4 linked regions of the Elephas maximus indicus genome follow. The protein of the gene in region 1 purifies or fractionates together with the protein of each later gene. This does not show direct contact. Links are inferred from orthologs where the notes say so. Each region holds a gene or a part of one and is shown on either strand. Other genes may lie near its edges. The genes, in order: CDH2, CTNNA1, JUP and CTNND1.

The links.
Region 2: the proteins of CDH2 (region 1) and CTNNA1 purify together in Homo sapiens (affinity purification with mass spectrometry; 4 studies listed by BioGRID and IntAct, with this or other methods). This does not show direct contact. The link is inferred for Elephas maximus indicus from reciprocal best matches to the Homo sapiens genes CDH2 and CTNNA1.
Region 3: the proteins of CDH2 (region 1) and JUP purify together in Homo sapiens (co-immunoprecipitation; 4 studies listed by BioGRID and IntAct, with this or other methods). This does not show direct contact. The link is inferred for Elephas maximus indicus from reciprocal best matches to the Homo sapiens genes CDH2 and JUP.
Region 4: the proteins of CDH2 (region 1) and CTNND1 purify together in Homo sapiens (affinity purification with western blotting; 6 studies listed by BioGRID and IntAct, with this or other methods). This does not show direct contact. The link is inferred for Elephas maximus indicus from reciprocal best matches to the Homo sapiens genes CDH2 and CTNND1.

Annotation. Positions count from the first base shown.
Region 1 is NC_064829.1:35,179,929-35,187,630, forward strand, and holds the start of CDH2 (cadherin-2), read right to left. Parts: upstream 3,006-7,702; 5' UTR 2,916-3,005; coding exon 2,856-2,915; intron 1-2,855. UniProt on the Homo sapiens protein: Calcium-dependent cell adhesion protein; preferentially mediates homotypic cell-cell adhesion by dimerization with a CDH2 chain from another cell. Cadherins may thus contribute to the sorting of heterogeneous cell types.
Region 2 is NC_064820.1:151,825,912-151,833,639, reverse strand, and holds the start of CTNNA1 (catenin alpha-1), read right to left. Parts: upstream 3,007-7,728; 5' UTR 2,901-3,006; intron 1-2,900. UniProt on the Homo sapiens protein: Associates with the cytoplasmic domain of a variety of cadherins. The association of catenins to cadherins produces a complex which is linked to the actin filament network, and which seems to be of primary importance for cadherins cell-adhesion properties.
Region 3 is NC_064837.1:48,807,128-48,815,123, forward strand, and holds the start of JUP (junction plakoglobin), read right to left. Parts: upstream 3,009-7,996; 5' UTR 2,868-3,008; intron 2,689-2,867; exon of another isoform or gene 2,490-2,688; intron 1,513-2,489; exon of another isoform or gene 1,441-1,512; intron 1-1,440. UniProt on the Homo sapiens protein: Common junctional plaque protein. The membrane-associated plaques are architectural elements in an important strategic position to influence the arrangement and function of both the cytoskeleton and the cells within the tissue.
Region 4 is NC_064825.1:119,135,305-119,142,948, reverse strand, and holds the start of CTNND1 (catenin delta-1), read right to left. Parts: upstream 3,004-7,644; 5' UTR 2,757-3,003; intron 1-2,756. UniProt on the Homo sapiens protein: Key regulator of cell-cell adhesion that associates with and regulates the cell adhesion properties of both C-, E- and N-cadherins, being critical for their surface stability.

The sequences.
Region 1 (7,702 bases):
ATAAAGCCCTTTCTTAATATTCAACCACTCTTTTTAACTGTTCAGGAAAAACAGGATTGCTCTGTATCTACACTAATAACCTACACATTCTCTCTCCTAAACTGTTAGCTGGCTTAGCATGGTCTGAAACAAGCACAGTTTTAGCAGCAGAGGACTGACTGCAGAGAGGCCACTTTCACCTTGCGGATAGATCTCTGCTGTTCTGGTGAGCAAAGCAGACTGTTAGCACAAAGGCATTTCTAATCTCCGTCCTACAATCCACATGGAGCTCTTGACCCTAAAACTCATGTTGCATAAACTGCGCTGCTTCCACTCTTGATGACCTTCCAAATCACTCAATGTTACTGCCTGGCTTCAACTAGAGAATGAGAAGACTGTCAAATAACTTGATGACAAAGTTTTAATTTCTTTTTTCACAAAGGTTTATAAACGGCAAAAATCAGCATAGAAGAAACCAAGAAAGCACACGTAATTGAAAGATAAGCACATTATTTGACTTTTACAGACGGCAATATGAAAAATGCAAAGAAAAAATAAGAAATGACATATGAAATTCACGACTGACTTCAAGGCAGATGACTAAGGGTGGAGATAAGACTGCTCCAATCATAACATAATTAGGCTGTCCCACAGGTATGAACGACCAACTGATGTCTCCTCCTGTCCTAACTCCTTTGCATAGTGTTTAATTAAAACTCATTTGCAGATTCAAAAGATAGTGAAAATAACTACCTATGGCTTAGATTCACATGCTGAAGATTTACTACGTGGTTTGTTAATAAGTAAAATCACTCAATGACGTCCAAAAATATTGTTTTTAAAAATAAGATTTTTTGATCTATAGTATTTCCTTGGCGACAAAAAAAGGGGGGGGGGAGAGGAGAAAGAAAAGAAAACTCTGGTATGCACAGAATTCATAAGTTCGTCTTAACTTCAAACACTTAAAAAAGTAGCACTTTTTCCTTCTCTCCCCCCAGCTTAACCTCTTTAATAAACCCCATTTTTTTAGAGAATAATAAATGAAGTGACAGGAGGTGAAAGAATGAGGAGTGTGCGCTCCAAGAATAAAGGGCGATTTTATAACAGGAGGTACTTTTGTTAGCAAGTGACTGGCAGGTCTCCTCCTCCAAGTTAGAAGAAATTCCATCCACTCCCCAAAACTGCAGAGGCCAAAAGTGTCTCGTTTAATAGTTTCGAAATCCCAGAGTCAGGAAAGAGCCTAGGAAGGTCTGGCGAGTGGGGGAAGGGGAAGGAGAAATATCAATAGGCGAGGAAAGAACAAAAGGAGACCCAAGAAAAGAGAAAGAAAAGTCAGGACCAGGCGGCCAAGGAGCCAGTGGCTGAGAGCGAACCGGAAAGTGAGACAGCGCGACCTGAAGGAGAGTGCAGAGCAGGGCGGACAGGGCAGGGCCGGGCGCGCCGCACCACCGCGCACCATGGACAGGGCTCGGCGCGGCCGCGGTCCACACCCCTCTAGAGGGCGGTGGGAGAAAGCGCGAGAGACCGCGGGCGCCGGCCCAGCCCGCCGCCGGCGCCCACAGCCACCACTCCCCCAGTGGCCGGAGCGCGCCTCCTGACCCGTGAAGACTACAGAGGGAGCGAGCCGCACCATCTGTTCTCGCCCGAGCTGCCCCCGGCGCCAGGGCACTGCTGAACCGTGCCCGCACTTTTCAGGGCTCCCACCGGCTGGCCTCTCCCACCCACTGCTCGTTTGCATTTACCCAGGGGCCGTGGCCCCAGGCGAAGGCGGACACGCCCCTCTCCCGCAGCCTCTGACCCGCACAGGCGGGGGCAAATTCCAGGTCCCGGTATGGCACCCGCCCAGCGCGAGGGTCTCGGCTGATGTTGTGCGGCACAGCCTCCCGGGGCCCCGCTGGCGGGCCGGGAGGGGCCTCACGGCATCCTCGGGCCGGTCGCCACGGGAAAGTTGGGCGGCCAGCCGGGCTGGAGACCGGAGGCGCGGAGACAGGAGGGAGCCCGCGACCCGCCTGAAGCAGGTGCTTCCTTCCGCGGAAGGGAGCCTAGCAATGATAAAATGGAACGGCTGGGAGGGCTCTCCCAAGGGTGTGAAAAGTGCTGAAAGCGCCCGGCGAAGGCGCCTTTGGGCCGCAAGCGGGTCAGTGCGAGCCTGGGGAAGGGAGAGGAATAATACTCGAGTAACGGAACTTCTCCCCGCCCGTGGGGATAAAGGCGTGCGGAGCTAGGGGCTGGTGCGAGACGCCGACAGACAGGGACCCACGCAGGGACCTCTCCGGACAAGGGGGCGAGGTTTTCTTTCCAGGTGGGATTGACACAGAACATTGTTTGGAGGAGAGAACAAGAAAAGGAAGCAACTCTGGGTTGGGATAAAGACAATAGGACAGTGGAGCCCTTGGGCGCCGGGAGGCGCGCGCTGCTAGGGTGGGGTGGGGTGGAGGCAAGACCCATAACTAAGACACCAGAGTGAGAATTTCAACTGCAAACTCGAGACCCGTTTCTGCAGAAATTAAAAAAAAAAAAAAAAGCAAAGTGTGATGCAGGGAGTAAGAAGCACAGAAAACTGCAAAACCTGGGAAATATTCCGCCTCACCCTTCTGCAACCCCCCGCGAGCTCCTCCAGCCCCAAGGAGGCACAGAGGATGCCCCGCGATCGGCCCCCTTGGGCCCCGTCAGGAGAAGCGCGGAGGACCTGCTGGCCCCTCCAGTCCTGCCCCTGTGCCCCGGCGGAGGCTCGTTCCTGCGCAACTCCGGGCCGCGAGGTGCGGCACCTCCCTTCCCGAGTGCGCAGCCGGCCCCGCAGCGGCGCGGGGAACAAAGGGACCCGGCGCCTCCCGCCCCACCCCGCCCGTGGCCCGGTCCGCGGGGCCGCAGCGTACCTGGAGCAGGGCCGCCAACAGCGGCAGCAGGGCCCGCGGCGCTCTCACTATCCGGCACATGGAGGCGGAGAGGGGCCGAGCGAGAAGCCGGAGGCGGCGGCGGCGGAGGCAGCGGCAGCACCAACAGCGGCGCGGAGACGGCTCCAGGCAGTTTCCACCCCTTCCCTTCCCCTCCCACCCCACCCCCTTCGCCGCTGCTCTCCTCTCCCCGCCAATGGAGAGAGAGCTGGTGACAAATAGCGGGCCGCGAAGTCCGCGGCACTCGCACCAAGAGTAATAAAACAGACCGAGAGATCAAGGAGCTGGGGAGGGGGCGGGGGAGAAGGCGGGCGTGCGTGCGTGTGGGGGAGTGTGTGTGTATCTGTGAGGGTGGTGGCAGCACCGGCGACTCAGCTCTGGCCCGGAGCGCGGCGGAAGCCGCGAGGGATGCTGGCTGCGGGGACCTTGGCCCGTGTAATATGCGGAGGTGGTAGTGGAGCGGATGGCGCTCCCTAAGAGCTCCGCCGCGAGGTTTCGAGGTCGTGGTTGTGCTTCCTCCGGGTCCCCTTTCCAGGGCCGCTGGGCGCGACGAAGACACCGGGAAGAGCGCCGCGGGCCGTGCGCGCTGCGCTTACAAAGAGCAGCAGTCCCGCAACCGGGCGCCGCAGCTGCCTGGCGATGAGAGCCGCTTCTCGGCTCCTCTTTCCCGTCGCCCGGCGAGTTGAAGACTGTTCTCTGGCCTTGACCGCGCGGGGATGAGCCGACGGGCTGGCGCGGCCCCTACCGCCGCGGCTCCGTCCCGCGCAGCTGCTGCCGCGGCCGCCCCTGCTGTTCGCGCTCCGGCTCCCGCCCGCCGGCCCTCGCCCTGCGCAGCTCTCTTGCGCGCGCCGCCCTCGCCGCCGCCGCCGCCGCCGCGCACTCCCGCTCGGCCTCCAAGAGCGCGACCAGGGCGAGCTGCAGCTGCTGCTCTATCCGCGCTCGCCGCACGCGCTGCCCGGCTGCGCGGCCGGGTCCCGGCTCTCTTCCCCTCCCGCCGCCGCCGCCGCCGCCGCCGCGCCGCCCTCGCCCCCGCCTCCCTCCTCCGCCGAGTCTCCCCCGCCCGCGTGGTGGCCAATCGGAGGCCAGCGAGCTGCGGCGGTTGCCGGCCGGATCCAAGGCAGCCGCCCGCCCCCGCGCCGCCGGAGCGCCCCGTTTTTGCTGCAGCCCGCGGGGGGTCGCCGGAGGGAACCTGGAGTACTCGGAGCACCGCCCCGGCAGGTGGAGGGACTGCGGGAAATAAAATAACTTGCGCAGAAACTTGATCGGTGGCTGATTCGCTATCTTTAGACCGCGGTGGGGAATCTGATGGATATTAGGAATGGGGGTTCTTCCTTGGCAGCCTAACGCCCGCTTCTCTGTTTTGTTATTTTTTTGTTTGTTTGTTTTTGGAGATAGGTTATTTTTCGTATTGGGGCAGCCACAGCAAGCTAGGGACGCAGGCAAAGCCCACCTTAGCCATTGTTGTCAGAGGCACTTGCCCGGAGCCACCTGCGGGCCGAGGAGCGCAGAGGCCGTGGCTTCTTTTGGACATGGCGCCTCTCCAGCTCCCACCCTCGCGGATGTACTGGAGTAGCCCAAGTTTTTCTGTTCCTGTTTTGTCACCTCTGGGAGTTTGCAGGCGCATGTTATTGTATAAGAAATGATCCGTTTATGTTTCTACCCCTTTAGAGGTATGGTGCACTTTTTTTTTTTTTTTTTTGCAGTTTTAGGAACTTTAACTCCCTCCCTGCACCTCTTCCAACAAAGAAGAAAAAAAATCCAAAAGCCAGAACCTGAAATACACGCGGTAAAAATAGGATTATCTAAAAGATAAGATGACTGATACCGAATTCACACTAAATAACGGATCGGGGTGGAATATTAAAAGTGAGAGACTATTTGGGTCACAAGCATTTGTCTAATGGGGGAGTGGAGTGGAAAGGGGCAGTTGATTTTGGCGAGATTTTTTTTTTTTCTAGGAACCATTATTATTATTATTTTTTAAGGTCTTACAGGTAAATAAAAATATCCTTTTATCTCAACGTTGCAACACTTTGGAGGTCGTTGAACTTCCTTGTAGTTAATAAACATTTTTGCCTTTAGTGTTTCCTGTTCTGCGTTGGCTAACTGACATATTCACGTTCTTTGAATTTAGATCAGTGAAGTATTCACTTTGAGTTTCAGAACACTGATTATTTAAAACCACATGATGATGAACCTCTAAAAATCAAGTATTAATATCTTGGACATAACTGATGCAACTTTTAATAATGTATTATTCCTGGCTATGCTTTTAAATATGTAATATTCATAGAGAAGTTAACTTTTAATTAAAACAACATTGTAAGTCATTTTTCTAAGAAACATTTTTTCTTGGATTTTCTTCCCCCCTAGTATAAGGAAGGTTATGTTAATTAAATTAAAAAAGATGAAAGGCTTGTCTAATACAGTAAGAAGTGCTTGTTCTTTCTCTTTGCTAGGTATTTTTATTATTGTCATGCTATATTGCTAATCTACCTAAAAGTTATCTTTGCAATACAGTATTTATAAATTCCATTTTTAGGGAGTCATACATAATAGTGAAACATTCAGTAGCAATACAGGGTTATCTTTTGTTGTGGGGTTCCAAGATGGGATTTGTAGATTTCAGCTCCATCCCTAGAAGTTAAGCTGTGATCCTGGACACCTGGTCTTAGCTAAATCCTTACCACTCTCAGCAGTAGCCATCAGTGTTTATTGCCATTCTGATTAATTTAAAGCTGGAAGAAACCAGCATAAATAACTCTATTGCTTGGTAGTATTATCTGCTTGAAGCTTTAAACATCATGTCCCCTATGAACTAAACTCTTATTATGGTCTCAAATTCTGTATTGGAAAGCTGATCAGTCAACTAATTCTCTGATTCTTACAGTGCTTGATCACACAGGTTAGCACTTGCAGCTTTTTTTTTTTTTTTTTATCTAACTTGCATGCCTCTTACTCTTCAAAGGTTATGAATTGTTTTGGAATCTTGCCTGATGTGGTCAGCCAAATCTTGCTAATTGCTCTTTGATCATGAGAAGGAATAGCCTAGTCTAAAATTATGTTATTGGAGATTTTGTGTATCCATTTGCTGTTAAGAAGAGGAGATCTATGGTTGACTATGGCATCTAACACAGTTTACTCTGATAGTACCATACTTAAGATTTAGTGGGGCTGTTCGTTTCTCAGATTTTTAGCAGCTGCTCAAAGGATTGCCAACCTGAAGACTAGCTTGCCATCAGCCTGTAGGGCTCAGGGGCTGCCAGGGGCTTGTCATTGACCCAGAGAGATAGCCAGGTGGTTTTAATACCAATAAAATTAATGAAAACTAAGGCTGGGCTCACATACATAAAATCCACCTAGTCCCTTGATTTCTGACCTGTGAAGCTGCCGATTTACTGGAAGAAATCTGTAAATGTATATGTGTACCAAAAAATGTGGCCAGACTGAATAAATATTTTCTGGATATATGCCATCTTTTGTATGTATAAAGATGCTAAAAAAAAAAAGCCATTGTCATCGAGTTGATTCTGACTCATAGCAACCAACCCTATAGGACAGAGTAGAACTGCCCCATAGGGTTTCTGAGGAGTGCCTGGTGGATTCGAACTGCCAACCTTTTAGTTAACCACTGAGCTCTTAAGCGCTGAGCCACCAGGGCTTCATATAGATGCTAAATTTGAAACATTCATTTCAAAATAAAATCATAATAACTATTTGTCATACTGTGTTTTCTCAAACAGGAGATACTAAAAGTACAAATACATCGTGTGGAGATTTGTGTAAAAGGGTCTTCAATTTTAAAACAAATTCCACGAAGTAAGAGTCTAGCCTGCAATACCCTGGTCCACCCCTGGCCACATTACTCTCAAGGCAGAAACTTCACAGTTGTTTATCTCTGGCATCTAGCATTGTCCCTTCCCTCTTATGAAGTACATCTAAAGTTGTTTTTCTTCCCAATTATCTTTGATGTACATTAGAGCTGACCTTCCTTGAGTAATATCCCTCTCATAACCAGTAACCAGTTGCCTCCTAGTTAATGCTGACTCCTGGCGCCCCATGTGTGTCAGAGTAAAAATTTTCCTCCACAGGGTTTTCAACGGCTGGTGTTTTTGGAAGTAGATCACTAGGCCTTTCTTCCAAGGCATCCCTGAGTGGACTTGAACCTCCAGCCTTTGGGTTTGCAGCCAAGCCAATTAAGCGTTAGCACCACCCAAGAACTTACCTTTCTTAGAATCATGGGATGTCTAAATGAAACTTAAAGATGCTTTCTGCAGTCATCTCATTTTACAGACAGGGAAAGAGAGGCTTAAAAAGTTAGACAAAGCTACCAGCTGCCAAGCAGGGGGCCCAGCATGGGACCCAGTCTCTCATCCTCCCACTCTTACCTAGGTTCTTTAGATAAAATGATTCTGGGGAGTCCTTTTTAACTTTAGAAAATTCAACTCTATGGGTTGGGAGAAAGGTAAAAATAAGAGTATTTAAATGGAACTAGAGATGTATCCATTGTTCTCAGGTATTTTGTTCTCTGAAATATTGCAGAGATAGGAGACATAACTCTGCTTGTCTTTCCACTCGTCTCAGTTCTCATGTGCCTTTCTTAGTGTGATCATCTGGCCTTATTTAGTGTGTTTCTGACATTTAAAGATCCATGTCTTTGATACAATCTGGCCGCTAAGTGCAAGCCAGCCGTTCATCTGGTACTTAACCAGAGAAGCAGTGATCTGTTCCAATACTAGAAGAGAAACCTACCTTTCTTTAATTAACTCTTGTTTGGAGATATTTTCTCATGGAAAATATAGCCAAGTATGTAACTCGAAGTCTGTATG
Region 2 (7,728 bases), on another chromosome or scaffold:
TCCATGTCCAGTAACTGCCAAGGGCTAAAGCTACCAGTCCCTGCCTTCAAGGAGCTTCACTTTCCAGCAGGGACATCAAGAATAAGTCACAGTACAATGTAGCACACCACCCTGCACAAAGAGGCTTGCTACCAAAAATGAAAGCGGTAACACTCAGCTGAATCTAGAGCTATAACTAAGAATACACCAGTAAACACAGTAATAGAGTACAAGAAGGAAGAAACAACATTTATCGAGAAACCTAGACCCCCACATCCAATGCACATTCAAGTCCTGTCTTATTTCTCCAAAACACAACTCCCTTCATCCCTACCACCTTCACCCCTACATCTTTCTAGCTTAACTGCCTATTTCCACTTGTATAAGCCTTCTCCAAACGCTAGCAAGAGAGATCTTCTTTAAAATGTTATCAGATGATTAAACTCCCTACAATGGCTTCTTATAGCTCTTAGAATACAGTCCAAACATAGCCCTGAGCGACGTGGCCCCTGCCCTCCCTGGCAACCTCATGTGAGGCTTCTCTCCACCTAAGAGTATTTAATCTACACAGGTCTTCTCTGAGGTCCCTAAACACGTGGAGTTCTTTCCTGTCTCAGGACTTTTAAACATGCAGAGTGCCCTGTTCCCTCCATTCAGCTCTTCATCAGAATACATACAAACCCCCACAACCAGGGCTATCCCTCATGCCTCAAACCAATGTCACTTTCTCAAAGAAATTCCCAATGGCACAACCATTAAGCACTCTACTGCTAACCAAAAGGTTGGCAGTTTGAGCCCACCAGTGGCTCAGAGGGAGAAAAGACCTGGCAACCTGCTCCCATAAAGATTTCTGCCTAAGAAACCCTATTGGGCAGTTCTACTCTGCACAGTGTGCAGGATTGCTGAGTCAGAACTGACTTGACAGTCGCACACAACAACCTCCACATCTGGTTTATGGAGCAGAATTAAGAGAATGAGGAGCCCCATTTTAGACATGTTGAATTTGAGAAGCCCCTGAGACACCCCAGGAGCAATCCAGTGCACGGATGACTCTGGGGGTCAGGAGAGACATCTGCACTCCAATAGAGACTTGGGCTTCAGCACATAAGGTTGATGGCAGGAAGACTATCCACTTGGGATGGGGGCATCCCTCACCTCTAAGTCACTGTATGGAATGAGATGTTACTGATAGGAGTGAGGGTGAATACTGCATCAATGGTGTAGAGGTAGAAAAGAATCAAAATAACACTGGATAAAATCCTGTGTATGAGTACATTTTAAAAAAAAAAAAAAAAAGAGTAAGAAGCAGTAGCCAAACATATAACCAAAACCAGGAAGAGTTGTACCACCAAACCAAAACCAAACCCGCTGCCGTGGAAATCCTATGTCCTTTTAAGCTTCTCAAGACTTCCTCCTTTCACCTGACAAAACCCTACTCATGTTTCAAAGGCCAGTTAAAAAGCCACCACCTCCTGGAAGCCTTTCCCAGCTTCTCCAAAGAAAACTACCCCTCCCCCTATGCCTCCACAAAGTTTCTTTGTATATTTGTTGTATATCCGACCCATACAAAAGCTTTTAAACAGTACTGTTATGGCACTTATCTAAGTCTGCCCTGTGGGGCGGGGCGGGGGGGGTTCCTCCCCTATTACACTGTGAACCCTGAAGGGTACAGACCATATCTTACTCATTTGTGAACCCTTAATTAGGTGGATAAAAAATTATCTGTAACTTAACAATAGTCAAGAAGGGTAAGTAATTGGGCAGCAGCTATAGATAGGTACCCCACTCATTCCTCTTGTAAAACAACAAATCCTAATAAATTTGACTTACAAGTTTATATCTTCTTAAAGCAACACACACCTGTACAGTTTTTTAAAAATCACTGCTAAGCACAAAATATCCTCTCACCAAAACATCTATCCTGTCAAAAAATAATGATGTAATCATTTCCTTCAACAAAATTATGAAATGCTCTTTATTTAGTTGAGGGCTATGCATCATACCGTCTTTTCTAAGTTGTTGTAAATCCTCTACAAAACAAATACAAAAATATTACGAAAACGCAGGAGGACACAAGGGTGTCCATCCTGGCCTTGGGCCAAGTGCTGCCTGCATTATTAGGAAGCCATGGCTGCCAATCCAAGGTTAGGCATTCAGTCAACATTTTTTCCAACAAGTGCTATTGTCTCTCTTTCACACACACGATATATTCAAAGTCAACAAAAAAAAAGACGCTGTAACGTCACTCTTGAAAACAAGGGCACGTCCAATTTACCACACAGGAAGTCAGTAATTTCACAAGAAAGGTTAACATGGTACACGCCGAAAGTCCACACGGGTGTGGCGCACCTTACCAACACGGCTAAGGCAGGGAGAGGGAGAACTAACTTTCACATTCGCTCGGGGCCCGGAATGCGGGTGCGCGCGCGGGCTCAGCAAAAGCCCGGTTCAGCAGACAGTGAAGTTTCAGCGGCCCGTGACGGGAGCTGAGGCAACAGAAACCACAAAACCAGAGAACAATCACATCACCGGAAAAATCAATTCACCAAACACACACAATCACTGGAACAACGCGCAGATTCTTCACGAAAACGGCCGAGGCGGCCCAGCGCGGGGCCGGCGCGCGCACCCAGCCCACTTTAACGAAGTTTAGAAACCCGGAGAAACTTTTCCGCGAGGAAGCGCAGCGGCTGCGCGTGGCTTCCGCCTCTCCAGCCGCCGCGGCCCCTCAGCTCCTCCAGCGCCAGGGAGGCGGGCCCCGCCCGCCCAGCCAGCCAGGGCCCGGCCGGGGGCCCGCACGGGAAACGGCCGCCGGCCGGAGGCTGGACCCCCGCCCGCCGCGAGCCCAATTCCAGGCGGCGCCCGCTCGGGAGGGCCCGAGGACGCCCGGGCCCGGCTGGGGAGCTCGCGCGAAGAGTTACCTGCGGCGAGCGGGGCGAGCGCGGGAGGACCGGAGCACCGAGGCCGACAGCCGCCGCTTTGTCTCCCTCCCGTCGGGCTCGGAGGAGGAAATGGGCCGCCCGGCGCCCCCGCCCCTTCCCGCCCCCCGCCCCCCGCCCCGCGGCCCCGGCCCCGCCCGCCCTTCCCGGAGCCTCCCTCTGGCGCGCTCTTCCCGGCGCCTCCCGCCGCAGCCGCCGCCCCGCCCGCTTTTCCCGGCTCCGTCTGGCCCCCGCTTTATGGGGGAGCCTCGACGCGAAGAGGCCCTCTGGCAGGGCTCGGCCCGGACCCCCTCAGGACTTCTTCCTCTCAGCTCCCCACCCCAGTCACTTCATTCCAGGCTTGTAGTGGGCGCTCAGGCCTGGAATGACCTCCGAGAGGAAGGAGGAGCGGCGACTCCTAGAACAGCCCCGCGGGGGAGGGTGGGGGAGGGCAGGTGAGTCACCGCGTTGCGCACAGGTGAGTCTCGGGGCACGGTTTCGCGCAAGCCCAGCCCCTGGCCGGTGCCCCAGGCACTGGGCGCGGCAACGTGAGGTCCTGGGCACGCTCCTCGAAAAGTGGCACAGGTGTCCCCGAGTCAGACGTTCCCAGGAAAGTGTACTAGGTTCGTCCCCTAGTTTTACTTAAGGAGAAACTGAGGCTAAATAAAGGTCCCACAGCTTAAGGCAGAGTGGAACTACAATCAAACACTGGGGATCTCTTAGGTTGTGAGGTGAAATCGCCCTAGAAATCACCTAATCCATCCTCTCAACAGTTGGGGAAACCGGGATCCCTCCTCCTGGTCGCGAAATTTTTTTATAGCAGCGTCCCCCCCCCCAGGATGCCCCCCTCTCACGCAAACGCACACACACACTTTAGGGTCCTGGCTTCTATCCTTATCCCTCAAGGCACTTGTTGTTATTGGGTGCCTTCAAGTCCGTTCGGACTCATAGCGAGTTTATGTACAACAGAACAAAACACGGCCCAGTCCTTCGCCATCCTCACAGTCGTTGTTACGCTTGAGCCCATTGTTGCAGCCACTGTGTCAATACATCTCGTTGAGCAACTTCCTCTTTTTTGCTCACCCTTATACTCTACCAAGCATGGGGTCCTTCTCCAGGAACTGATACCCTCCTGATAAAATGGCCAAAGTATGTGAAAAAAAAGTTTCGCCATCCTTGCTTCTAATGATCATTATGGCTGTACTTCTTCAAAGACAGATTTGTTCATTCTTTTGGCAGTCCATGGTATATTCAGTATTCTTCACCAACACTGTAATTCAAAGGCATCAATTCTTCTTCAGTCTTCTTCACTCATAGTCCAGCTTTCATATGCATATGAGGCAATTGAAACCACCATGGCTTGGGTTAGGTGCACTTTAGTCCTTAAAGTGACATCTTTGCTTTTTAACACTTTAAAGAGATCTTTTGCTGCAGATTTTCCCAATGCAATGTGTCTTTTGATTTCTTCACTGGTGCTCCCATTGGTGTTGATTATGGATCCAAGTAAAATGAAATGCTTGACAACTTCAATTTTTTTCTCTATTTGTCACGATGTTGCTTATTGGTCCAGTAGTTAGAATTTTTGTTTTCTGTAAGTTCAGGTGTAATCCATATTGAAGGCTCTGGTCTTTGATCTTCATCAATAAGTGCTTCAAGTCCTCTTTCATCAAACAAGGTTGTGCATATGCATATGGAAGGTTGTTAGTCTTCCTCCAATCTTGATGCCCTTTTCTCCCTCATATAGTCCAGCTTCTCAGATTATTTGCTAGCACAGACTGAATAAATATGGTGAAAAGACACAACCCTGACGCACACCTTTCTTGACTTTAAACCACACAGTATCCCCTGGTTCTGTTCAAACGACTGCCTCTTGGTCTAAGTACAGGTTCCTTATGAGCACAATTAAGTGTTCTAGAATTCCCATTTTTCACAATGTTATCCATAATTTGTTATGATCCACACAGTCGAATGCCTTTGCATAGTCAATGAAACACAGGTAAGCAACTTTCTGGTATTCTCTTTCACCCAGCATCCATCTGTCATCAGCAGGGATATCCCTGGTTCCACATCCTGTTCTAAATCCAGCTTGACTTTCTGGTAGTTCCCTGTCGATGTACTACTGCAGTCACTTTTGAATGATCTTCAGTGACATTTTACCTGTGCGTGATATTACTAGTATTATATGATAATTTCCACATCCTGTGGGATCACCTTTTTTGGAATGGGTACAAATATGGTTCTCTTCCAGTCGGTTGGCCAGGTAGCTGTCTTCCAAATTTCTTGACAGAGACGGGTGAACACTTTCAGCACCGCATCCATTTGTTGAAACACCTCAATTAGTATTCCATCAATTCCTGGAGCTTTGTTTTTCGCCAGTGCTTTCAATGCTTTTTTCAATGCAGCTTGGGCCTCTTCCTTCAGTACCATTGGTTCTTGATCATATGCTACCTATTGAAATGGTTGAATGTCAACCAATTCTTTTTGGTACATGACTGTGTATTCCTTTTATCTTCTTTTTATGCTTCGTGTGTCATTTAGTAGTTTCCCCATAGAATCCTTCAATATTGCAACTTGAGGCTTGAATTTCTTCTTCAGTTTTTTTCAGCTTGAGAAACGCCCAGCATGTTCTTCTTTTGGTTTTGTATCTCTAGGTCTTGGCACATTTCATTATAATTGTCTTTTTGAGCAGCCCTTTGAAATCTTCTGTTCAGATTTTTGACTTCATCATTTCTTCCTTTTGCTTTAGCTACAACAGCAGTGGGTTTTTACTCTATGTTCAAGAGGAACTTTCAGAGTCTCTTCTGACATCCATTTTGTTCTTTCCTTTTTAATGACCTCTTGCTTCTTTCATGTATGATGTCCTTGATGTCATTCCAGAACTCATCCGGTCTTCAGTCAGTAGTGTTCAATGCGTCAAATCTATTCTTGAGATGGTCTCTAAATTCAAGTGGGATGTACTCAAGGTCTTATTTTGGCTCTAATGAACTTTTTCTAATTTTCTTCAACTTCAGTGTGAACTTGATGTTTTCCACAGTCGGCCCCTAGCCTTGTTCTGGCTGATGATATTGAGCTTTACCATCGTCTCTTTCCACAGATGTAGTCAATTTGATTCCTGTGTATTCCATCTGGTGAGGTCCACATATATAGTTGCTATTTATGTTGTTGAGAAAAGGTATTTGCAATGAAGAGGTTGTTGGTCTTGCAAAATTGTATCATGCTATCTCCAGCATTGTTTCTATCACCAGGGCCATACTTTCCAACTACTGAGCCTTCTTTGTTTCCAACTTGCACGTTCCAATTGCCAGTAATTATCAATGCATCTTGATTGTGTGTTGATCAATTTTAGACTGCAGAAGCTGGTAAAAGTCTTCAATTTCTTCATCTTTGACCTTAGTGGTTGGTGGATAAATTTGAATAATAGTCATATTATTATGAAACCCTGGTGGTGTAGTGGTTAAGTGCTATCGCTGCTAACCAAGAGGTTGGCAGTTCGAATCTGCCAGGTGTTCCTTGGAAACTCTATTAGGCAGTTCTACTCTGTCCTATACGGTTGCTATGAGTTGGAATAGACTTGACAGCAGTGGGTTTTTTGGGTTAGTCATATTAATTGGTTTTCCTTGTAGGCATATGTATATTATTCTATCACTGATAGTGTTGTACTTTAGGATAGATCTTGAAATGCTTTTTTTGATGATGAACACAATGCCGTTCTTCAATTTGTCTTTCCTGGCATAGTAGACCGTATGATTATATGATTCAAAATGCCTATACAAGTCCATTTCAGCTCACTAATGCCTAAGATATCAATGTTTATGCATTCCATTTCATTTTTGATGATCTCCAATTTTCCTAGATTCATACTTTGTATATTCCATGTTCCTATTATTAATGGATTTTTGAAGCTGTTTCTTCTCATTTTGAGTCATGCCACATCAGCAAATGAAGGTCCCAAAAGTTTGACTCCATCCACTCACTATCATTGACTCTACTTTGAAGAGGCTACTCTTCCCCAGTTGTCTTTTGAGTGCCTCCTTCCCTGAGGGGCTCATCTTCTAGCGCTATATCAGAGGGTGTTCTGCTGTTGGGTATTCACTGGCTAATTTTTTTCAGAAGTGGACTGCCAGGTTCTTCTTCCTAGTCTATTTTAGTCTGAAAGCCCAGCTGAAACCTGTCCACCATGGGTGACCCTGCTGGTATTTGAATACCCACGGCATAGCTTCCAGTATCACACCAACATGCAAGCCCCCCACAGTATGACAAACCTGTGGCAAACTTAGAAAATTTTATTCCTATCCTTTATGGTGAATACTCCTTTAAAAAAAAAAAAAACACAAAACAAAACATACTATATACTTACTATGAGCCTGAGATGGAAAACCCCAATGATGTTTCTCATGAGTCATGGAATGATGAACCGGGTTGATTTCAGTATTGGCCTATAAATCCAAAATAATCCAAGACAACAATATCCACTGCTGGCTCTGTGCTGATGGATAAGCTAAAGCTTATCCTGCCTTCAGCATCTACTATTCACAACTCCTTTCCCCTAGAGAATGCAAACTCCTGGAAGATAGGAGCTGTATCCCCTACGGCACTTAGTACAACTCCTTTCCCCTAGGAAGTGCCCAGTGACCTAATATGAGTAAAAGTGCCCACTGTAATTCAAAGCACTATGGTTTGCAGTAGTTAAAAGATACTGACAAAGGGCAATAGGACCATGAGGTAGGCAGAGAACCACTTCAGGAGAGGCAAACCTTTACAAGGCCAAGCACGCACGGGGCCTTTGTAAGCACAGAACCCTATGCTACTGCACAGGTCACACACACATAAA
Region 3 (7,996 bases), on another chromosome or scaffold:
ACCTGTTCAACATCATAGCAACACACAAGCCTCCACTGACAGATGGGGAGTGGCTGTGCATGAGAAGCACTGGCCAGGACAAGAACCCTGGTTTCCCACATGAAAGGCAAGAATCCTACCACTCATCCACCACTGCCCTCACTTACTGGGTCCGTAGTTATTATTGTCCCATTTTACCCAGGAGGTCACTGAGGCTCAGAGAGATGAAGTGATTGACCAAAGCCACATAGGTACTGAGTGACAAAGGTGGCATTCAAACCCAGCTCAGTCCAACCCAAATCCCTGTGCCCAGAGTTGCCCCGCTATAATGCCACTCCAAAAAACAGCCCTTCTGTACACTAGTCAGTTGTCCCAGCTCATTCCAAGTGGGATCCTCTCCCTAGTCCCTCCCAGGCCCTGTAGAGGCATCCCCTCTCCCCACACCTGTACTCCCCTCCAGGGGTCTCCAGGAAGAAAAACAGGCTCCAGGGCCCAGCCTGACCTTCATTCCTACATGCTGCTTTCTCAAAGCTTCAGTCCTGGCAGCCCTACCAGAGGTTCCAGGGGGGATGGGGTGGGGCTGGGGTGCGGGGTGGAGGTGGGGCTGGAGAGGGCTCAGGTCACCCAAGCTGGGGCTTGATCTAGCAAGAAATGACTAATCTGATCCTACCTTATTTATTCCTCTTCCCTCCTCTATTATCCCCCTCCCCTCCTCTATTATCCCCCTCCCCTCCAGTAAGCAGCCGGTTTTCATGAGGCGCCTCTCAGCGATGCTTCCTCAGTATTAACTTTTTATCACAGCCACAAACCAGATTAGCTAAACTAATTATTTAGCCTCGGTAGTTACAACACCTTCCCCTTCTCCACCTTGGCACTGAGAGGAGGGTAAACAACTTATTTGGGCCCAAACTCCATGCCCCTGTGGCTCCCCAGAGGTGCAGACCCCACGAACAGAGAAGTCCTGGGGTTACCTCTCCAGCCTCCTGCTCAGCCCAGGGCACCCTACCTACCAGGGCATCCCATGGTGGGGGCAGCTGGGTTCCCAGGTCTGACTCCCCTCCTTCCCTAACTCTCCCATCCATAGCCATGAAAGAAGGGGTCCCCAGTGAGTCAGGGCAAGCCAAGTGATGTTCCCGCCACCCACCCCTGCTCCCCAGGACGGAGGGACAGCCTGGCTCTTCTGTTCCCTCTGTGTCCCCCAGGGAAGCTGGGCTCCAAATTCCTCCAAAAAAGACCACACCTTAGATTTTTGAAAAGATATTGTTGAAAGCCTGGTAGAGATCTTTAACTTGGGCCAGAGGAGAGGGGCTCTCAGGAAATGAGGGGGGCAGGGAGGGCCTAGTGAAGCTCTGCAGCTCTACCTAAGCGAAGCCTTCCTCGTAGCCCACTTTACCCATCAAAATCTCTCAGGAAAGGGAGGTGGTGGGGAAAGGACTGCACAAGCTTCCACAAAGAGTGCACCTTCATAATTCAGAAGTCAAATGGAAAGCAAGCCTCCCAGCTCCAAGGTCTTCGGCCTCAATTACCAGCCAGCTAAACAGCGTGGGCGTTGGGGTATAGAAAGAAAATGAGAACAGTCACTCCCCCCACCCCGTCAGTTTGGCCCAGTCCCACCGCACCCCCATTCCTAAGTGGTGGTGGGGGAAGCAGAGCTTGGGAGGGAGGGCTACTAGCCCAGGCCTCCTCATCGGAGGGGGTGTGGTGGTCCCCCAGGAGGCAGGAAAAGAAGGAAGAAGCTGCTTCCCCTCTGGCCCACACCCCCCATCGGCCCCCACCTCAGGCCCCAGGGGCCCAGCAAACAGGATGGGGGGCTGGGCAGGGAGGACAGGCTGGGCCAGCCTGGGGCCAGCTGGGGAAAGGGGCTTTCTGCCCCACAAGAAGGTCCCTCTAAGTCTGGGGGACACTCTGGTCAAAGAGGCAGGAAAGCCCCCAGAGAAATCTTCCTTCTGGAATACTTCCTCCTGGAAAGTTTGCTTTGGGTGATTTTTCCAAAAATAAGAGGTTAGAGAGGAAGAGTAGCCCTGTTCCCATATGAACACTCTGGGAGCCAAAGCTATTGGAAACTGGGCCAGGTGACCCCTCCGCCCTGAAACCTCTACCCACGCAGAGACCCGCTCCGCCAAGATCCTGATCGAGCAACGGGGGGCAGAAACCAGCTGGGCACTGAGCAGGGCCCTGCATCAGCCTCATTGTTGCCCCATCCCACCTCCGCTGGGGGATCCACAGCCCGGCACCCACCCGAGCGAAGGGAGGCGCCCCAGGTACACTGCCGACCAGGCTCGCAGAGAGGGAGGGTTGGGCCTCTGGCCTCGGTGCGCTCACCTGCTCGGCAGGTGGGGGCCGCGTCTCTGTGAAACTGTGCGCTTGGCCCCCACAGTTGGGCAAGCCGGTCGCAGACAATAGGGCCCCACCCAGGCCTGGGGGAGTAGGGAGGGAGGGAAAGCGAGGATGACGCGTGGGGTGGGGTAGGGGTGGCCCCAAAGAGTCCAGCGGCAGCAAGTTTCCCAAACCGTAAATTCCTGACAGCTGAGTGCGCCCTGGGACGCAGGCGGAACAGGTCAAAGTCTTCCCCAAAAGCTCAGGGCGAGAGTCAGGGGCCGGGCGTCGGGCGGGCTTCTCCGACCCGAGGAAGACACGACTCTGGAAGCACCTGCCCTGATCCCTCCCGGACCTTCTTTGATCTCCAGATCCCGAAACCCCCAACAGCGCCGGGCCGGAATCTCGCGCTCCGTTAGTCTCCACGCCCAGGACCCCAGCGCGCCCCCTGCCGCCGGTGCAGGGTGGCGCCCCCTACACCCGCCCTCACCTGCCCCGAGACTGCTGGGACCTTCTGGCCCCTCGCCGCCCCTTCCCTCGCCCCAGCGATCCCTGCCCCTGATCGTCCGCACCTGCGTGTGAGCCTAGCCGGGCCGGGTCTGGGTCGGGCCGGGGTCGGGGCCGGCGCGGGCAGCGAACTGAGGTCGGCGCGCTCGGGCGGCGGCTGCACCGGACTCTGGCCAAGGCAGCAACTCAGTAACCGAACAAAAGGCGAAGGGACCTGACAGCCAAGCCACGCCTCTCGCCCCCTCGAAGCTCCGCCCCCTAGAGAGACTCCCACCAGCTGAAGCAAGCTCACTGGTTAATTCGCATGACTGTCCCATCAACGGGCGGAGCCTCGCTCTCAGGCCCCCACCACGGCCGCCTCTGTTTATCGACTTGCCATTGGCCCCAGGGACTGCCAGTCGCCTCTGGGGACGGACTCCAACTTGAGATGCCATCCTAGCTCCGCACCTATTGGCTGAAAGGGGCTTACTTCTTCTTGTTTGGGCAAGGGACTGTCAGTAAGAATAAGGAAAGAACCAATGGGAGGGATGGGGTGTGTCTTGCCCCACCCTGGCTCTGAGCAGGTAAGACTCATGACTCTCCCTTCCCCCTACCTGTCCAACAGGTGAGTCACAGGGCGCCATGGGAAGGGACAGACGTCTTCACTGGCCTGCTAACTCAGCGTCAGGCATGAAGCTTCTTTGGGCTTATTCATCTTTGCCCCAAAGTAGTAAAAACATACTTTTATAGCATTTCATACAGCATTTTGCTGGGCTGGAATTTTTTTTTCCCCCTAAAGATGAAATGAATGCTCATGGAATTTAGAGTTAGTACGCCTGGGTTTGAGTTCTGCCACTTAGTGACTATATGATCTTAGACAAGTTACTTCACCTTTCGCCTGTTTCTCCTCATCTGTAAAGTGGGTACATTAATTATAACTATCTCATTAGGGTGTGTGGGGAATAAATAAAGTAAGGTTTGTGAAAGGACTTGGATAACTGCTAAATGTTAGAATTTAAATTCATGTTACGGGTTTTTTAATTCTCACAATTCTGGAAAATTGCTAGGACAACAAAACTATCCTCATTTTAAAGAGGAGAAAACTGAGGTCCAGAAAGGACACAAAATTAGAAAGTGGCACATCCTAAAGCTAGAACTGTTCTAATTACAAGGCCCACCAAATCACAGGTTCACCTGGTGGAATAAAATATCAAAGCAATGAAGAAAGGGTGGGAAGAGACAAAAACAACACTTGGAGAGACATTGAAGAGCGATTTTTTGAAACAAAGATGAAGTATTGGTGTGTGTTAGATATCTAGTGCTGCTACAACAGAAATACCACAGATGGATGAGTTTGACAAAGAGAAATTTATTCTTTCACAGTCTAGGAGGCTAGAAGTACAAATTCAGGGTGCCAGCTCCAGGGAAAGGCCTTCTCTCTCTGTCCTTGTCATCAATCTTCCCCTGGCCTAAGAGCTTCTTAATGCAGGAACCCCAGGTCCAGAGGACACACTCCCCTCCGGGTTCATCATTCTTGGTGGTAGGAGGTCCCTGCTTGATTTCCTCTTACATCTCAAAAGAAATTGACTCAAGATACAACCTAATCCTGTAGATTGTGTCCTGCCTCATTAACATAGCTTCCTCTAATCCTGCCTCATTAACAACACACCCTAAAATCAAACCAAACCTGTTGCCCTCGAGTTAATTCCAACTCCTAGCGACCCTATAGAACAGAGTAGAACTGCCCCATAGCATTTCCAAGGAGCAACTGGTGGATTTGAACTGCTGATCGAGCTCTTAACCACTATGCCACCAGGGCTTCATTAATATCATAGAGGTTAGGATTTACAACACACAGAATCACATCAGATGACAAAATGGTGGACGATCACACAATACTGGGAATCATGGCCTTGCAAAGTTGACACACATTTTGGGGGGCCACAATTCAATCCGTAACGTGGTGTAAGGAGACTTTGGTGAGTTTGGAAGAAATAAGGCAGCAGATCTAAAGAAAATCTATCACTGGCATAGAAGGCGTGGGCATTGAGCCCCTCACTGGTGGAAGAGCCTGGGTTCTTCGGATAGAACTTCCTGATAGGCAGGTTAAGACCAGGGTCCAGTATTTTATTTTTGTGGTCGATAAAATGAATGCCCGCTGGTAGCTGCACAGTATGTCAAGGATCCTACAGACACTCATTCATTCAGCTTGTGTGTGTGTGTGTGTGTGTGTGTGCATTGTGGTGGGGGGAGGGAAGGGAGAGTGGTTGCTCAGGAAAGGAATCCCGCCCCCCAAAAAACTATAGCTCCAAAGCTAGCACACACAGGATAGGGCCGGGTGAATGTACCCCAGCAGCATCTTTGACCACTTTCCCCACCAGCGAGGGAATTATGGCTAACATTCTCCCTTCTGAAGCTCGTGCCATCCAAGAAGTCTTCCTGGAGGGGGCCAGGGAGACGTCAACATTCCTGAACACATGCCAGGGCCACTGCCCTTTGCCTGGCTTTCTGTACCACCCCGCCCCCCTTCCAGCCGGTCTCAGCATTGTTATCCCTACCTTACCCCCACCCACCCACTTGCTTTCCATCCTGCCACACAGTGCAGTGGCCAGCCCAAGGCTTGGGAGGAAAAGAGCTCAGAGGAAAAGAGCTCAGAATCCTAAGCTGTCACCACTGTGGAAGGATGTCACTTCCTCTCCCTCCCACCTCTCCTGCCCACCCTCCCACCCCTGCACACGTGCGTGTGCGTGCGTGCGTGCGCGCTCACACACACAGTTCCCAAACCCAAGCCTAGCTTAACTCCCTCTTCTTTCTCCTGACTTCAGCATATAAGTGGGGTAGGGCTGGCTGACTATAGAGGGGTGGAGGAGCTTGGGTGGAGTGGAAGGGCAGAAATAAGGCTTCAGGATAAAGTGTGTGTGTGTGTGTGTGTGCGTGTGCGCACCACTGGTGCTCGTGTGTGTCTTCCCAGCAATGTTCCCTGCATGTCTCACCCTGGAACATGCTGCAACACGCTGGCCTCAAAGTTAAGCACACAGACTGGGGCTGGGTGGAAGCACCCACAAGAGCAGCAGGGAAGACTGGGATAAGAGCTGTACCCCCACCCAGATCAGGAAATGTTCTGCACATTTATCAAGCACCTACAATGTGCTTGCCAGACACTGAGGACACAGCAAGTTGTATTGACTAAAATCAGCTGTCTGTATAGGGGTTTTGGTCTCATGGGGGAGGAGATGTGCAGGTAGACAGAAGGGGGTCACTGTGACCACAGTCTCTTCAGGAAGACTGACTGAAGTGAAGGAAAGGCCCCATGGCCATCATATCCACTTCCCTGCCTCCACGGTTTTAAAGGCAGGGATTTCTGTTTTTGACAAATCTCTGGCAAAAGAAGTTCTCCATTCTCCCTTAGTTTTAAATGCCTTTGTCTCCTTATTCGAACAGAGAGAAGTTCCTTCTAACGTCTAGCCTATTTCCTATTCCTGCAGTTTAAACTCATGTCTCTTGCTCGAAGCTCCAGAACTACCAAAAACACATGGTTAACTCAACCTTGCAGCTTTTTGGGGCCTCAGAGTAAAGAATGAAAAGGCACCAAGGTGGCCTATCCCAAGCTGTCCCAGAGACAGAAGTAAATGGCCAAAGGGGTCCAAAGAGGGGCTTTCGGGAGGGAGTGGAACTGGTAGGGGAGGGGGAAGGCGCTTCTCTTGGAGAAGGTGTACAACTGCCAACGTCCGGACAGCCAGGCCACCCCTCCTCAGCTTATCTCATTTCCCCTCACCGTCCAGGAGGCCTCTGGGCCATATAAGGAGGTGGAAGAATGTCTGTTCTCTGTCCAGACACAGCCCTTTCCCTGCAGGGCCCCTTCCCCAGACAGAGGCAGATAGAGATTTAGATCCCACACCCACACACCCACACAGTCCTCCACGCTCAAACCTCAGGGACACACTCATGGACACACACGGATACAGACTCAGATATAGGAACACCAGACACCTCGGTTTTCCCTTCCCACCACACACACACACACACACAAACACACACACACACACACACACACACACACACCCTTCTCCTCTCCTCTTCAGCCTAAGGTGGCCTAAGGGGTGGCCACCTCTATAGAGGGAGGGCAAGGGTGAACAGTGTCAAACTTCAGGCTGATCTAGTGCCAGTAGCCATGGGGTCGACTCTGCCTCATGGCTACCCCACGTATGTCACAGAAGGGCTGTGCTGCATAGGATTTTCAATGGCTGATTTTTCCGAAGTAGATCGTCAGGCCTTTCTGCCGAGGTGCATCTGGGTGAACTGGAACTGCCAGCCTTTCAGTTAGCAGCGGAGTACGTTAAGCATGTGTGTCACCATCACCCAGGGACTCCTCAGGCCGATAGCGGTACTTTTTAATCACACTGGCGCCTCTCCCCTGGCTTTTCAGCAGAAGAAAAGGAGAGCAGACAATTGGAAGTTCTTCCTGGGTTGCAGACATTGCATCAAAGGCAATACAAAAACCTAGAGGCATCTCTCTGCCCAGGGGGAAAGAGGGCTCCTGTCCTGGTCCTGCCTTCAGAAGGCCCCCACTCTGGTCCTGCTGGGGTTGTGCCCCTCCACACAGGGCAAAGGGACAAGCATACAGAGTTCACACCTCTCCCTTCGGGACCACGCCCTGGTACCCAAAACTCAGAATCCTTTGCCCAGCACTGACTTGGCTTTCAGGGCCTGTGGGCCCCTTATTCTGGCTGTTCCTCTGAGAAGGACAGTCGCATCATAGCTGGTATGCGTACACTTAAGCCAGAGAGGTGACAAGGGCTGCAGTTATTCTGGGGCCAGGGAGCAGGACATGCGAGCTGGGCTATCTGCACCCATTATATGTGCTGGAGGCCCTTCCTGTTGTGGGTAGAGCCAGGGGTGGGACAGGAAGGGGAGATGGTCCTGGGGCTCAGGGCTGGGGGCCAGGGAGCAGTTCTCCTGGGGGTTGCCACTTGCGGAGGAGTGTCAGAATTCTAAATTCCACCCTGACCTTTTAGGCCATTGTGGGAGTATACTCATCAAGATAAACCCTATTTAACGTAGTTTTTGCTTAAATGTTTAGACCGGTGGTATGTGGGCCTCCACTTCCATCTTGCCCCTGCCCCTGCCCCCGACCCCGTGTTAAGGGTGGGATGACTCAGGGTGACCCCTTCAGGGCCGGAGGAGAGGACAGGGATGCAGAAGCACCTCCCTGGGC
Region 4 (7,644 bases), on another chromosome or scaffold:
AAAACAGATCTTTTACATACATTACCCCAACCTGGAAGACTAGCAAAGACTAGCAAGGGCTCATTTTAGTTCTGGCTGTTTTTCTCTAGAGAATGGCAATGTATTAGTGGTTAAGTCCATGGACTTTGTAAAGATTTTCAACAAACGTCAAGTTTCTCTGAGGCTCAGTTTTCTTAAAAAACGGATGTTGTAGGGAATTAATAGTACATGTAAAATGCTAGCCATAGTTCTTCAAAAAAAAAAAAAAAAGGTGGGTAGGTTAGTAACGGGATCATCAGGTACCAAAATAGAAGGCAATAAATTATACGGAGGTAATCATTTTGTTATTCCAACTGATAGTGATCTATGTTTAATTTATCTGTATCCATCCTATCTCACCACCCCTAGAGAGCAAATACCTCATATACCTAAGGCTGGATTGAAATTGCTTGGAGTTTTGTTTGTTTTTTTAATAGGTCTCCCATAGTCCCAATTTTGTGCTAGCTGAGAGATCATGTTCTCGTCTGACTCTCCATAAATGGAACCCTAAGAAAGAAACTAGAACTCTCACCTCCCAGAAGGCACCCATCCCACCTGGAACACATGTAACAAAGGAACCAACAGTCTATAGGAGTCAAACGAGGAAAGGACAATCTGCATAACTCATATTTGTCTTCATTCTTACCCCAAAAGCAAAACGAGGAGCAAAACAAAACAAACGCATGTGTGTGTGTGTGTATATATATATATATATACATGTAAAAGATTTACTTATCCCCACCCCATACTATATTTCCCGAAAGAACTAATGGAAGTGAGGTAAAAGATAAATATTCCCTCTTATCACCCAAAAGGCTCTATACTACACACCAGTCAAAGCAAAGCCTTCAGTTGGTAGAAACGGTTCTGGATGCTTGTTATCTAGGATACTCCATACAAAGCCCAGTATTTAAAGCCAGACCCAAATCACCACCACTCAGTCATCCAGAACCTATTTTCAAATTGCCTTTGTACTCCTTCAGATTCCCTCATCCCTCCCCCTAAAGGCTGAGTGGGAAACCGACACTCTGGCAGCAACATGACCAACCTTCCAAAGACCAACAAGAAACCTCCCTAGGCTGGTGTCAAGGCAAATAGAACACTGGAAAGAAAATTTAGAAAATATTAAACAAGAACTCCAGCCCAACAGATTGTACACGTTGTCTTTTTTTTTTTAACTGCACTTGGTACAATTATGAGATCGAGGCATTAAACCTTTGCTATAGTCCTTGTGTAGATTGTATCAAAAAGAGGAACAAAGTTCTGTTTCCTCTGAAACCACAACGTTAGAAGGATGAGTCATCTTTCAAGAAATACCCTCATTCTATTAAAAAGAAATCCAAGGAAGTGTTCTAGAATTGGGAAGCAGGGGGTAGAATCAGGGAATTATTAAAGATACATGCCAGCTTAAAGCTAATGAGCAGTCTACACATTAAGGCCCATCTTGTTACCATTAGAGCAGTATCTATTCCAGCTGTAATTTTCAGACTGATTAGCATTTTCAGAGACAGAAGGAAGAGAACGTCCCACTTTTCAGCTCTTCATGAGCTACCTATATAACTCTCTAGAACCAGTATTTTTGTAAGAATATATTTGCAAAAACAAAACAAATCCTAAGATTAAGTATAAGAAAGCAGACATGGGCCTTCAGCTCTTACACATTTCTGATTTCATGGTAAATTAACCAGACAAAAAACTCACCTCCAAAAAACAACTTTCTGTTTGGTTTAAAAACAAATTCTCCTTGGGCTTTCTCAAATGCATTTTAAACACTAAAGTTTGTTTAAGTGGTTTCTCTTAATCTAACCTTATTTAATCCGTTGCCCTCTCAGAGAGCACAAAGCTGAAAATACTTTCAGGTGTGTTGTTACTTTACTCAGGTGAACTAAAAGGCATGATTAGAATTTCCTTATCCCTTTAAGCACATATACCAAACGTTTATCGTATTTGCAGATTTAACATACAACACCTCCACAAATCTCTGCCATCAAAGGAGTTGTAGGAGGAAGGCGGGGATGGCAATTCAGTTAACATGGAACCATTTGTTTTCTTTTATAAGGCAAAACAGGGAGGCTCCGTCTAGCAGGAGTAAGGCTCCCACCCACCGCACCTGGAAAAGTAAAAGGCGGATCCACCCAGGAACAGCAGGGCAGAAACCGATCTGGGCCGTTCAAACTCTCCGGGGAGAAAACACCACCATTTACACTGCAAAGCTCCCTGCAACTTTCCACTTCCACAAATTCAACGATAAAAGAACAAAAAAAGAAGTTCTGAAACATATGAAGAACCATCTGTAAAACTAGCTCCCAACCCGGACAAATTCCTTTCCCAACCCACACGCAACATGCCAAAAAACCAATTTTTGGTTTGGGCTCTGAGCACAGAACTATGTTAGCTAAATCCAGAAAAAAAAAAATACAAAATCAAAGAACACACAAAAATGTAAATTTACAGAACTGCTCTTACCCCTCTGGATCTAGAGTCTCCTTGTATTAGAGAGACCTAGAAGTTTGTTTCCAGGTCTTGCATATTTTGCCTTTTTTTAATATTACTAAAATACTAAAATCTCCCAAAGTACTGAAGGTAGAAAGAAAAAGATAATTGCTTAAAAGTCACCCCTCAGCATAGCAGACTCGCTCTCGTTTTTAAATTCCCTCTGGTTACCATAAAACAAAAATTCGACTGGTTTACCCTCCGTTCCCCTTCTGTAACACATTTTTGTTTTAAAAGGCACACACCTCAAACGTGGACTTCTATAAACCAATCCTTTTAGAAAGAAACCCAAGGCTTCGCCAATGTGCTGAGAAAGACAAATCCAGGAAGGCAGTTGATTTTTCGCCACCTCTTCCTCCTTTCAGGATCTTTCCTGCTCTTCTTTCTCTCTCTCCCTCTCTCTCTTTTTTTTTCTCTCAGATCCAACACCTAAAATGGAAGTTGCACCCAGCCAAAGGCAAGGGAGCCTGGGTGGTGACAAACTGATCTGGCAGCCCTACCCCCTCGCTTTCCTAAGTGATGTCAGCCCCTGAGAACTTCCAATAGGAGCCAGGCATAAATCAGGGAGCTGACCTTATCCAATAGGAAACTTTATTATAGGAAATTAAAAAAAGAGAGAGAGGAGGAGAGAAAGAGACAGGGGGAAGTTATACATATATATATATTTAAAGCAGAGACTATACAATCTCCGAGGAATTACTGCAGAGCTTCGGGGGGGCGGGGGGCGAGGGAACAAGGGCTTCTAAGAATGGCACATCCAAGCCAGTTATCTTTGATGGTTGGGTTCTTGCTCCCTCTCCCTTCCTTTCCAGGTGGGGAAACAGAAAAGAGCTGATTTTATTTGCCTGCTGGTGTTTCATTTGTTGCTTTCTACCTCAAAGGAAGACCGGAAGGGAAGGAGAGACAAATCCTCACAACAGGACTACTGTGTGCCAATGGGATGGGGAGGGGATATCTGGGAGGTAAACTCTCAATTTCAATGTTTTGGTTTAATTGCATTAGAGCTAATTAGAAAAAAATAAATGCTTGGGCTTGTTAACAGTGTTTAGTCTCTACAGTTTCAACTAGAAGGGCGCTGAATCCACTGGGCTGCTAAGTAATATCACTGTGTTCCCATTTGACCCCAAATCAAAATAATGTGGGTTTGAGAGGAAAAGTAAACGGAATCCAATACTGAGCAATATATTTAGAGGGAATACAGCATGTATAAGGAAGACCAAGTCTCACGTGAAGAAAATTCTATTTCAGTGTGAACTCCAAGCTCAAGATGATGTTCATACATTGTCTTTTGACACTTGACCTGAATAAAGGACTATAGGGGTATTCCTCTTCTGAGTTAAGAGATATTCTTAATATGTCCTTAGACTGTAAGACCATGAAGGGCAAGGGCTGAATTTTTTTTTAAATATGGTTGACAAAGATTAGTATTTTACCATCATTCAGTGACTAATGATGAATTAAGATTTCCTTTTTCTTTCTTACTGAAGAATCTCAAACTCTGCCCTGTAGACTGCAGCCAAATTAATCTTTTTCATAAAGTTTTCACAATCTATAATAGTGGTTAAGAGCATAGGTTCTGCAGGTAGACCACCTAGCTTCAAGGTCTATCTCTGTAAGTACACGTATTTACTCGACTAAGTGTACTGCTATGTGACCTTGGACGTGTTAGATAATCTCTCTGAGCCTCAGTTTCCTTAACTATAAAATGGGGATAATAACTGTATATCTCTCACAGGATTACTGTGAGAGTTAAAGTTCTTAAACAATGTATGGCATATAGTATAAACTCATTAAGAATGAGTTATTATTACTACCCTGTCCAAAAACTTTCAATGGCTTACCATTGCCCAATAATAGCAACCAATGATTGACAGTCTATCATGTAAGAGGCACTTTGCACTCATTGTCTCGAATGTCTAAAACAGCACAATGGAGATAGTATTACCTCCATTTTATAGATAAGAAATCAAGGCTTAGCAAGGTTAAGCAACTTGCCTGAGCTCATGTGGTGAAGAAGTGAACCCCTCATCAATCTGACTCCAAAGCTGTGCTCTTTCCATCACCTTACACTGTCCTAAGGATAAAGGCCAAATTCCTCATCTGCTTTCATGGTATCACATTTATTCTTTCAATACATTAAAGTAACACTATTAACTATGATCTGACCTTTCCTTATCGGTCTAAACAGGAATTCCACTCCCCCTCAGCATGACTGTGCCCTTCTAATCAAGCTGATGTAGTCATTAGCTAACTCCCCCCCCCCCATATTTGGTATAGATTCTCATAAACCAAAAACCCACTGCTGTCAAGTTGATTGCAACTCGTAGTGCCCCACAAGGTTTCCAAGGGGCAATTGGTGGATTCAAACCATTGACCTTTTGGTTAGCTCTTAACCACTGTGCCATTACGGCTCCTTAGAGTCCTACAGACCCTCATATTTGGCCTGTAGTGGCCCAAAACGATTTCTTTCAGAAGTGTTGGAAGATCAACCACGCATCACAGCACTTGTTTGACGAGCTTTAAACAAAGAATAGTAGGAAATGAGTACATTATAACAAAGAATAAATAGTCCTTAACACATAATCTAAGAATCTTCTCTCATATCTTCTACCTCTAAACCAAAAAAAGAAACACATCCACTGTCTTCAAGTCAATTGCAACTCATAGCAACCCTAGAGGACAGAGTAGAACTGCCCCACAGGGTTTTCAAGGCTGTAAATCTTTACAGAAGCAGACTGCCACATTTTTCTCCTGAGGAGCGGCTAGTGGGTTCAAACTGCCAACCTTCTGGTTAGCAGCTGAGTGCTTTAACCACTGCGCCACACGGGCCCCACTTCTACCTCTACTCTCCATCTATTCCTGGTTCTCTATAAACCAAAACCTGTTGCCATTGGGTCGATTCTGACTCACAGTGACCCTATAGGACAGAGTAGAACTGCCCCATACAGTTTCCAAGGAGCACCTGGTGGATTCAAGCTGCTGACCTTTTGGTTAGCAGCCACAGCACTTAACACTACACCACCAGGGTTTCCTGGTCCTCTATAGCAAGTTCCAAAGCCAAAGATGATAATCAAAGGAAACAATCAGAAAGAGAAATGTTTGTTTATTCATTGGTTCCTAGATGACAGCCATATTTTATACAGAATTTTCTAGAGCTTGATTAAAAAAAAAAAACCCAAACCCACTACCATTAATTCTGACTCACAGCGACCCTATACCCACTCCACTGCAGTTGAGTTGATTCCGACTCATAGTGACCCCACAGGACACAGTAGAACTGCCCCATAGAGTATCCAAGGAGCGCCTGGTAGATTTGAACTGCTGACCTCTTGGTTAGCAGCCATAGCACTTAACCACTATGCGACCAGGGTTTCCCAGTGACCCTATAGGACAGAGTAAAACTGCTCCACAGGGTTTCCAAGGAGCAGCTGGTGGATTTGAACTGCTGACCTTTTGGTTAGTAGCCCAGCTCACTGTCGAGACGGATTAGTCTTGTTTACTTCTTACACATGTCATTACTCAAAACTTTCAAGTATTTTGTCTTTTTTTTCCATGTTTTTATGTGTGTGTGAATGCATGAGTATGTTTTCTTGTCTCTCCCCCAAAAGATGAGTCCATAAAGACACGGCCACTGTCCTTCTTGTTCATGGTATATCCCTAGAGCTCAGCCTTATATCTCATATTTAGCAGTAGCTGAATGAGTGAATGAACTCTCTTTTGCTTACTAGTTGTATAATTCTGGACAAGTCATTTAGTATTAATAAATTTGTACATAACATTCAAAATGAAATGATACACAAATCAAAAAAAGATAATTAAATGGTAAAATTTAAATTTATTTGAAACAGCCATCTTCAAATAAAGCATCACGAGTATTAATACTCACTGACTGAGGGAAAAATTATTTACACTCAGTTAATAGGAAATAAAAAGACTAGTTCCACTTGGGTTATTTTGAGCAGCTACTTTGAGTCAGGTACTCTTCTAGATGTGGAGAATGATAAGATAGGCAAGTTTCCTGCTCTCTTAAATCTTACCTTCTGGGGTGGGGGGTGCTGTGAAGAGAAGATTAATAAGTAAGATAATGTCGAATGGAATGCTATGCAGAAATTTAAAACAGATTGATGAGAATCTGTTGGGAATGTGAATGACTTGGGGCTTACTCTAGATTGGCTGTCAGAGACAAACTCTGAAAGGGTGACATTTAGGTTGAAATTTGAGTGATAAATACAGGTCAACCACTAGAAGAAAAATATGAGCAGTAAGCAGAGGTAACTGCTAATGACAAATCCCTGCAGTGTGGGGCTGAAACATACTAGGCCAGGCAGAGCATGTTGGAAATGAGGACGGGGGAGAAGTGGGATCAGAATATGAAGCAGCGAAAACAAGAGAGACCCTTAACGAGATGGATTGACATAGTGGTTTCCACAATGGGCTCAAGCATAACAAAGATTGTGAGGATGGCATTGGACTGAGCGGTGTTTCGTTCAGCTGTACATAGGGTCACTATGAGTCGAAACTGACTCCACGGCACCTAACAACAACAACATGGGTCAGAGGGGAAGCCCTGGTGGTACAATGGTTAAGTGCTCGGCCACTAACAAAAAGGATGGCAATTCAAACCCACCAGCCCCTCCTCCAGAGAAAGATGTGGCAGTCTGGTTCCATACATATTACAGCCTTGGAAACCCTATGTGACAGTTCCACTCTGTCCTATAGGGTCACTGTGAGTTGGAATCAATTCCACTGCAATGGGCTACAACAGGCTATGATCCAACTCACATTTTGAAAAGATTTGGCTGCTTATATAACAAGTTAAAGAGGGTCAAAAGTGAAAGTAAGTCAGCTAGTTCAAAGGCTGTTGCAGTGGTCAAGTTACAGAGATAGGGAAGTAGATGAAGGTGGTAGCAGTCAAAACAGAGGGAAGACAATGGGTTTGAGGATATGTTTTAGAGACACAGGGTTGTTTTTTGTTTGTGGAATTTTTTTTTCTTTCTTTCTTTTTGCATGCTTTGCTTTGCATTGCTTTGCTTTGTTTTTAAAGCATGAAATATTACATTCAGTGCTTGGTTTTACAACCCTCAAAGTTTAACTTCCCCACCTACCACCATCACCACATACACACACACACAC